Linked DNA regions of Caenorhabditis elegans. The protein of the gene in region 1 purifies or fractionates together with the protein of each later gene. This does not show direct contact. Each region holds a gene or a part of one and is shown on either strand. Other genes may lie near its edges. The genes, in order: ahsa-1 and hsp-90.

Evidence for each region.
Region 2: the proteins of ahsa-1 (region 1) and hsp-90 fractionate together in Caenorhabditis elegans (co-fractionation; 3 studies listed by BioGRID, with this or other methods). This does not show direct contact.

Annotation. Positions count from the first base shown.
Region 1 is NC_003283.11:15,083,526-15,087,441, reverse strand, and holds ahsa-1 (Activator of Hsp90 ATPase AHSA1-like N-terminal domain-containing protein), read left to right. Parts: upstream 1-2,059; 5' UTR 2,060-2,068; coding exon 2,069-2,148; intron 2,149-2,197; coding exon 2,198-2,267; intron 2,268-2,315; coding exon 2,316-3,062; intron 3,063-3,112; coding exon 3,113-3,244; 3' UTR 3,245-3,383; downstream 3,384-3,916. Other genes in the region: C01G10.15 (FIP (Fungus-Induced Protein) Related), read left to right, coding at 146-208, 252-491; C01G10.7 (Citramalyl-CoA lyase, mitochondrial), read right to left, coding at 615-1,277, 1,334-1,438, 1,485-1,691; C01G10.9 (Methylthioribose-1-phosphate isomerase), read right to left, coding at 3,401-3,793, 3,839-3,916.
Region 2 is NC_003283.11:14,684,091-14,689,246, forward strand, and holds hsp-90 (Heat shock protein 90), read left to right. Parts: upstream 1-2,069; 5' UTR 2,070-2,073; coding exon 2,074-2,223; intron 2,224-2,270; coding exon 2,271-2,975; intron 2,976-3,023; coding exon 3,024-4,009; intron 4,010-4,067; coding exon 4,068-4,335; 3' UTR 4,336-4,449; downstream 4,450-5,156. Other genes in the region: C47E8.4 (Protein FAM50 homolog), read right to left, coding at 1-69, 264-426, 524-594, 644-715, 950-1,049, 1,103-1,232, 1,279-1,387; C47E8.11 (uncharacterized protein), read left to right, coding at 4,547-4,621, 4,669-4,830; gasr-8 (uncharacterized protein), read left to right, coding at 5,064-5,144. UniProt on the Caenorhabditis elegans protein: Molecular chaperone that promotes the maturation, structural maintenance and proper regulation of specific target proteins involved for instance in cell cycle control and signal transduction. Undergoes a functional cycle that is linked to its ATPase activity.

The DNA.
Region 1 (3,916 bases):
GTAAACTGTTAGCCCTTCTCTTGAAAGAGAGAGAGATCAAAAGGGAGCCACGGAGGTGGAGCTTGATGTTGAGTAGGGTAAAAGTGTATAAAAGATTCGAGTAAAGAGGGGAAAACATAAACTTCGCTTTGATCTCTCCTAGAAAATGAGATTCCTTACACTGATCGCCACTCTTCTCGTGCTTTTCTCCACTGCCAACGCTTATTATGTAAGTTCCTATTGATTATCTGATTCCCATTTTTTTGTTTCAGCTCTACTATTACTACCCGAACAACGGTTACAACAACAATAACAATAACGGATACACGACTTATTACTACTACCCGAATAATAATAATAATAACAATAATGGTCAAACTTATTACTATTACGATAACAATGGATACAATAATGGTTGCTCCGGCTGCAGTAACAATAATGGATACACTTACTACTACCCGAGCAACAGCAATGGATACACTACTTATTACTTGACTTATGGAAAGAAGTGATTTGTCTGAATTTGAACAAATAAAGAAATTTTAAAATTACTCGTTTTTATTATATTACACTGGCAACTAGAGCTATATTTAAAAATGTACATAAAAAGTTTTACAACATTTAGAATTTAGAATTTAATTCTGAACTCTCTCCACGAGCTGAATAATATTCAATGCCTGCAGCAGAAGTGGTCGATCGATCATTTGTCCTCTAAACTGGAAAGCTCCTTTTCCTAATGCCTCGTGCTCACTGTAAGCGTGGACCAGCTCCTGAGCCCATTCGATTCGATCCTTCGGAGGCAGAAATTGCTCCTGGACCACAGACACTTGACTTGGATGAATGACTTGTTTTCCAGTGAAACCCCACTGCCACCCTTCTGCAGACTGACGACGGAGACCGTCAAGATCCTTGATATCTATGTAGACACTGTCGATTGCTTGAAGTTGGAATGCTTTACAGCAAGTCACAAATTTCTGTCGAGCGAATAGGGTTTCAGTGCCGTGAGAGCTTCGTGTAGCTCCGATATCTGCACAGAAATCGTCTGATCCAAAGACAACTGCATCTAGCTTGAAGAATCCGGCTTGTTTATGAAGATTTAGAGTTGATGAGACTATTCGTGGCATATCCAGAAGAGCTCGTGCAGATTCGATCCAGATAACAAGCCGAGTGTTCGTGTTTGTGATCCGTTCATCTCCGTAGTGTTCACGGAAGATGTTGTAGATGGTGACAAGGTCTTCAGGGCAGTCTACTTTCGGAATCATAAATGCTTGTGGCAACTTTTCAGCTTTCGATACTGCCTGAAATTAAAAAATTCGTGAGGATAAAGTTTGAAAAATTCAAAAATAAATCTTACAATGATATCATCTTCGAGAAGACCACTGCTTACAGAATTGACACGTAGACCAAGCTCCTGGCATGCCAATGTGTGATATGGCAGTTTATCAAGAGCCGCCGCAGCCTGAAAACTCAAATTGTAGACAAATTTCCAATTACTTTTCACGTACTCGAACTCTAGCATCAGCTTTAGCCGTCAGAGCAACGCCATCTTCTAGCTCCAAAACTACTGAATCCGCTTGCATCATTGGAACTTTATCCAGCATTTTTTGATTGCTGGCTGGAACGTATAGAAGTGCACGTCTTGGAACATACTTTGCTGCGTCCCGAACTCCGGCAAACTGTGAGATGTGCCTAATTATCGTTTTAGGAAGCATTTTTCTGAAATTGAAAAAATTAATTTATTTTAAAAAAATGTGTAACGTAAAATCTGAAAAAAAAAAACAAAAATAAATAACCAATTACGTGCGTAAATCCACACAAAAATTGCAATGCAAGCTCGCCCTATTGATAAGCGGTCGTGGCCTGCTGGCCTAGTTTCTTCCATTTTTCATGAATTTTCTCGAAATTAATTGAGTTTCTCCTGTTTTCAACGAAATTTCAAAGATTTCTTGTTTTGATTTCAACGTTAAATATTTATTTTCAAGTTTTAAATTGAAATTCCATTGTTTTAAGTACAAAACGACTTAATCTGGCTTGATGTTCACCTTAAAAATCTCGATAAACTGACTTAAATTAATTTCAGGGAATTTAAATGGCCAAGTGGGGAGAAGGAGATCCACGCTGGATTGTTGAAGAACGAGCCGATGCAACAAACGTAAACAATTGGCATTGGTGGGTCTCGATTGAAGTCATAGCTTTGAGCTGAATAAGTATGTTTTAGGTCGGAGAAGAATGCAACCCCGTGGTCTTTGAACCGACTCCGTGAACTTCTCACCGGATTTTCGTCCGAGGTATAATTAATAGTTGAACAAGATCGTATTAAGAGTATTCGTTTTCAGGATGGCCCAATTGTCGTGACAATCGATGAGATCAAAAAGATCGACGGAGAAGCAACGGCAAACAACCGGAAGGCTAAGCTCATCTTCCTTTTTGAATGGGTTATCGAAGGAACATTCATTGCTCGTGTTTCTGGCAGTGAAGACGAATATAAAGGAACTTTCGATATCCCAAACTTGAGTGATGAGAACGATGCATCCGAAGTGGATGTGAATTCGTCATTGAGTGGAAATGGCCCAATGGCTCATCAAATCCGCCAAGTTCTTAACAAATCGTTCATTGCAAAGATTCAAGATGTTATGGGAATCTATATCCGTGAATTGAAGGAAGAATTCAGCAAGGGTCTCATTCTGCCAACTGATAAAGTGAAGCCACAAGTCGTTACTACTGGAAAGACTTCAGTCGTTGACAAACGTCAGTTCCAAAACACTGTTGTCGCGGAAAAGGACGCTTCCACTTCTGGAAATGAAGTGTTCTCCACCAAAGAGGTTTCAACTTCCGATACCTACAAGGCCACACCGGATAGAGTTTTCGAGGCGCTCACAGAGACTCAATTCGTTCGTGGATGGACAAACAATTCGATCGGAGAGTGGAATTTCAAGGAAGGAGGATCATTTGCATTGTTCGGGGAAAACGTGACTGGAACATTCGAGAAGATTGAGCCGAACAAGGAGATTGTGAAGAAATGGCGACTGAAAAAGTATCCAAACAATCATCATGCAACCATCCATTTCCAGTTGAAAGATACTGTAAGTTTTAGAACAAACGAGGATAAACCTTCTATTATAATAAATTCTAGGGATCTGGAACGGATATCAAAATCATCGCTAAAGATGTTCCAACTCATCTCGCTGAAGAAACTCAACAAGGACTCGATCGTTACTACCTTTCAAGCATTGGTCGTACTTTCGGATTCAGCCAGCGAATGTGAAAAAATGAAAAATTGCAAATCTCCTGTTTTTGATGTTCTCCGATCTTCTAAACCGCTTTCTCAATTTATTTATTTTATATCAATCTGTGTTTGTGTTCTAAATTTAGTGATAATATTTTCATAAATTCAACAGATTCTGTTCAAAAACAAACAAAATTATTTAGGAATCTGCTGCTCGAGCATTTCAGGCGGCCAGTTTCCGAAATCCGTCAAAATTTTCGTGATGAGATGCGCCGGCGTGACATCAAATGCTGGATTCCAAACCGGACATTCAGAATTTCCGATTAAAACTCCATTTACTCGAAGCATCTCTGCAGATGGTCGTTCTTCAATTTTAATCTCCTCCCCGGTTGCAATATTCTTATTGATCGTCGTGAATGGAACAACCGGATAGAAGTTGATGTTGTGATGTTTGCAGAGGACAGCAAGCATATAGGTTCCGATTTTGTTAGCCGTATCGCCGTTTCTTGCAACATTATCGGCTCCGGTGAGCACACAATCCACCTGGTGATTCTTCATTGCCCATGCTGCCATTGAATCAGTGATCAGCTAGAAAATCTGGATTTTTAAAAGATAATCAGTATTTAGCATTACCTTGAACGGCACCTCACCATGAAGAAGCTCTATGGAAGTCAACCTAATTCCTTGATTATAGGGTCTCGTCTCCAAAAC
Region 2 (5,156 bases), 400 kb from region 1:
ATCCTCTTTGACGAACATCAGATTCTCGGCTGTGCACGATTTAAGCTCCGTGAATTCCTTTTTCAGAGCCTGAAAATGAATATTTATAAATATTTTTTGATTTGTTGAAAAAAAAAAACAATTAAAAAATATTTTAGAGGGGAAGTAAAGTTTGTGGGTTTTTGCCCGAAACGGTCGAATTTCATAAATTGCCTTCTCAAAAAATTTCCAAAAAAATAAATACATAGAACACTTTTTTTTTATTTTCTGAAGTTCATTATTACCTCAATGGCTCTTCCTAGACATTGCGAAATCGTGTTTCCTTTCTTGATTTTCATATTTTTCCGATGTGAAGATCCATCCCAATAGGCGTAGGCAACTGTAATTTCCTCGTTTTTCTCGGCATCTTGCTTCACACGCCACTCGGCTGCCAATGATTCTTTCTTTCTGAAACCAGACTTATTATTTTTTATTTATTTGTTCACCGGGATGATCTACACCCGCCAAAATTTGAAATGTCGTTGTTTTTTCTTCTAGAACTCACTTTCTCAAGAACTCCTCTCGTTCTTTATCAGGCAGGAAGCTTGTGTCGACAGTTGGGTCCATTCCAACGCGCTGCAAACATTTTTCGCTTTAATTTTTTCTTTTTAATTATTATTCTTACCTTTTTCGGGATAATTGGTGCAGCATCTTCTTCGTCCTCTTCGTCATCAAATGCAAACGATAAAAATCGCTTCTGAAATTAGCAATATTAAAACAGTTTTTCTCGAATGTTCTACAAAAATGTTTTATATCTGCGTTTCCTCACACTCTCACCTGCCCTCAATTTTTCTTTCTCGAAAGTTCTCAAATTTTTAGAAATCTGGTATAAAAGACTCTTTCGACGAGAAATCTCTAGTCAATTGAACTACAACTGCTACCCGAGTCTAGAGCCTACAACCAAATTTCTACAGCAATCCTTCACATTTACCTGGGTATGTTTTGCAACGTGTTCTTCTTTTTCTCGAGCTTCTTGTGAATCTTTAGATTGAGTAGAAGATGATTGGTCTCCCCGGGCCACTTGTAGATCTCTATAAGGTACACATTTTTATTGTGAGGCTCTCCAAAATGTAGAAAATCGAACCTGTTTGAAATTTCGTTTTTCTGAATATTTTTCATATCATCCAATGATACCAAGCCATAGGTTTTAGACTTCACGACTTCTTCGACTGTTTCATAGTTTGCCATGAATTTATTCGTAATTCCGACCCTGCCTGCAAAATTTGTAGTTTTAATAATTAAAAAGGGGTTTCACCATACATTTTTCTTTGTCTTCTTCAAGCTTTCGCAATTGTTGTTCGATATCTTCCTTTTCACGCTCACGTTTCTTTGCCAAATGAATCAAGCGGCCTTCGTCGGCGCGGGACATTTTATTAACTGCAAAAATAAAATAAAAACCAATGAAAGCAATATTTTTCAACGAGTTCAATATTGAGAGTGACATATAGTTTATTTCGGGATTTTATTTAATATAGAATAATAATTTTAGATTTTTTTTTGGTGCAAAAATACCAAAAAAACGTCTTTTCGACGAAGTAATCTGAAAAAAATGAAGAAAAAACAATTCAAACTAAAAACAAGAAAATGTTTGTGGCCTAGTTACCTATTCTGCAAAACTTCGGCCAGGTGCTGAAAACGCGCTCTATTGACAATTTTCGTCGAGAATTTTCCGCCGAAAAGGGCAATTTGAAAACCAACCAATCAAATTGAAAGGCCACGCCCTCCTTCGAGAACATTTCGCATCTTGTTCAAAATTTAGACCTTCAATTACGCCTCAGAGCTCTGATATTCCCAGTTCTTTCGGTTTTCGGGTGAAGATTTTTGGTTTTCCTCTCACTAATATGGCTTTTATGTTAATCACGGATCATTGTTTTTGATTTTTAAAGGTTTTTGAACAATAGTTTTAGGCCTAAAATTAGTTCATTTCTAGATAAGGTTATAATGTGTTTTTAGTTTCGAAATCATTCGCCATGCGTGCTCTTTCATTCATTGAATCGTTATAAAGTTCTATTCAGTTTTTGTTGCTCGATTGTTAATTGATATTTTTCCAGAACCATGTCCGAGAACGCCGAAACCTTCGCATTCCAGGCTGAGATTGCTCAGTTGATGAGCTTGATCATCAACACTTTCTACAGTAACAAGGAAATCTACTTGCGTGAATTGATCTCAAACGCCTCCGATGCTCTTGACAAGATTCGCTACCAGGTTTGTTTTTTCGCTTCTGAGTCAATTTTTTAAAATATCGGTTTTAGGCACTCACCGAGCCATCCGAGCTTGACACTGGAAAGGAATTGTTCATCAAAATTACTCCAAACAAGGAGGAAAAGACCCTTACCATTATGGATACCGGAATCGGAATGACCAAGGCCGATCTTGTCAACAACCTTGGAACCATTGCCAAGTCTGGAACCAAGGCCTTCATGGAGGCTCTTCAAGCTGGAGCTGATATTTCCATGATTGGTCAGTTCGGAGTCGGATTCTACTCTGCTTTCCTTGTCGCCGATAAGGTTGTCGTCACATCCAAGAACAACGATGATGACAGCTATCAATGGGAGTCTTCCGCAGGAGGTTCTTTCGTCGTTCGTCCATTCAATGACCCAGAGGTCACCCGTGGAACGAAGATTGTCATGCACATCAAGGAGGATCAGATTGACTTCCTCGAGGAGCGCAAGATCAAGGAGATCGTTAAGAAGCATTCTCAGTTCATCGGATACCCAATCAAGCTTGTGGTTGAGAAGGAGCGTGAGAAGGAGGTTGAAGATGAGGAGGCTGTCGAGGCTAAGGATGAGGAGAAGAAGGAGGGAGAGGTCGAGAACGTCGCTGACGACGCTGACAAGAAGAAGACCAAGAAAATCAAGGAGAAGTACTTCGAAGACGAAGAGCTTAACAAGACCAAGCCAATCTGGACCAGAAACCCAGACGATATCTCCAACGAAGAATATGCTGAGTTCTACAAGGTATTTTTAGTTTTAATTATTTTATGGCAATAATTCCATTAATTTCAGAGCTTGTCCAATGACTGGGAAGATCATCTTGCCGTCAAGCATTTCTCCGTTGAGGGACAACTTGAATTCCGTGCTCTTCTCTTCGTCCCACAAAGAGCTCCATTTGATCTCTTCGAGAACAAGAAGAGCAAGAACTCCATCAAGCTCTACGTTCGTCGTGTCTTCATCATGGAGAACTGCGAAGAGCTCATGCCAGAATACCTTAACTTCATCAAGGGAGTCGTCGATTCTGAGGATCTTCCACTTAACATCTCTCGTGAAATGCTCCAGCAATCCAAGATCTTGAAGGTCATCCGTAAGAATCTTGTCAAGAAGTGCATGGAGCTTATCGACGAGGTTGCCGAGGACAAAGACAACTTCAAGAAGTTCTACGAGCAATTCGGAAAGAATCTCAAGCTCGGAATCCACGAGGACTCTACTAACCGCAAGAAGCTTTCCGATTTCCTTCGCTACTCTACCTCCGCTGGAGATGAGCCAACTTCCCTCAAGGAATACGTTTCCCGCATGAAGGAGAACCAAACTCAAATCTACTACATCACCGGAGAGTCCAAGGATGTTGTTGCTGCTTCAGCTTTCGTCGAGCGTGTTAAGAGCCGCGGATTCGAAGTCCTCTACATGTGCGACCCAATTGATGAGTACTGCGTCCAACAACTCAAGGAGTATGATGGAAAGAAGCTTGTCTCCGTCACCAAGGAAGGACTCGAGCTCCCAGAAACCGAGGAGGAGAAGAAGAAGTTCGAAGAGGACAAGGTTGCCTACGAAAACCTTTGCAAGGTCATCAAGGACATTTTGGAGAAGAAGGTTGAGAAGGTTGGAGTTTCTAACCGTCTTGTCTCTTCCCCATGCTGCATTGTCACTTCCGAGTACGGATGGTCCGCTAACATGGAGCGCATCATGAAAGCTCAAGCTCTTCGTGATTCCTCTACTATGGGATACATGGCCGCCAAGAAGCATCTCGAAATCAACCCAGACCACGCTATCATGAAGTAAGTTACCCAAAAACTATTTTAAAATGAACATTCACAAACGTTTTTGCTATTTCAGGACACTTCGTGATCGTGTCGAGGTCGATAAGAATGACAAGACCGTTAAGGATTTGGTTGTTCTTCTTTTCGAGACTGCTCTTCTCGCTTCCGGATTCTCCCTTGAGGAGCCACAATCTCACGCTTCCCGCATCTACAGAATGATCAAGCTTGGTCTCGATATCGGAGATGACGAAATTGAAGATTCTGCTGTTCCATCATCGTGCACCGCTGAGGCCAAGATTGAGGGAGCTGAGGAGGATGCTTCCCGCATGGAGGAGGTCGACTAAACATCCTATTTAATTTATCATTTGTTACGAGAAGATCTCCCCAAAAGCCCCTCCACAGTTTTATTCATTGTTTTCCTGTCTATCGAACCCAAATAAAGTTCCGTAATTAATTTCATCAATGTTTTTTTTTGCAAACGTGAACTTTTGAAGAAGCACATTTGAACAGTTTAGATACTCGAGGGAAATTAAACAGTTTTAGTTTATACGAAACATGATTGCAATCTTATTCGAGTTGGCATGTTTCCTGATCTTGGCCAGTGCTGTTTGCTGCATCATTCCAGAACCGGTTTATACATGAGTTGGAGATGAGTTTAATATCTTTTCATGTTTCAGGAAAAGCCATTCAATCCACCTCCACGTCCAAATTTCAATTATAACCTCTGGGATCCTGTCAATGAAGATTTCGAAGGACGCAAGTTGGATGTTCGTTGGTGGAATCCGGAAGAAGAAGATGAAGATGAAATTGTTCCAATCCCACCAAACCTTGCTGTCTAATCTCTCATTTTATTTCTAAAAATAAAAATTTTTCGATAATCGTTTTATGAACATATGCTTATTCTCTTGAAAAATCCGCTTTCCGCGCACGCAAATCTGTTGATGCGTGCTCAAATTGACATCCGTTACCATGCCAACTCTTTCCAACTGCCCTTGAGAAATTGAAAGCAGCTTTACTGAGCTCTTTCTGTGTTCCGGGCTCTCTTTGCAGTCTGTGCTCACTCCTATTAATTATGAAAACGGCAGGGACTTCGCGTGATACGTCTTCTAATATTCAAAACAAGCGAGTTATGAAGAAACCCAAAGCTATCAGGGTATGTATTAAA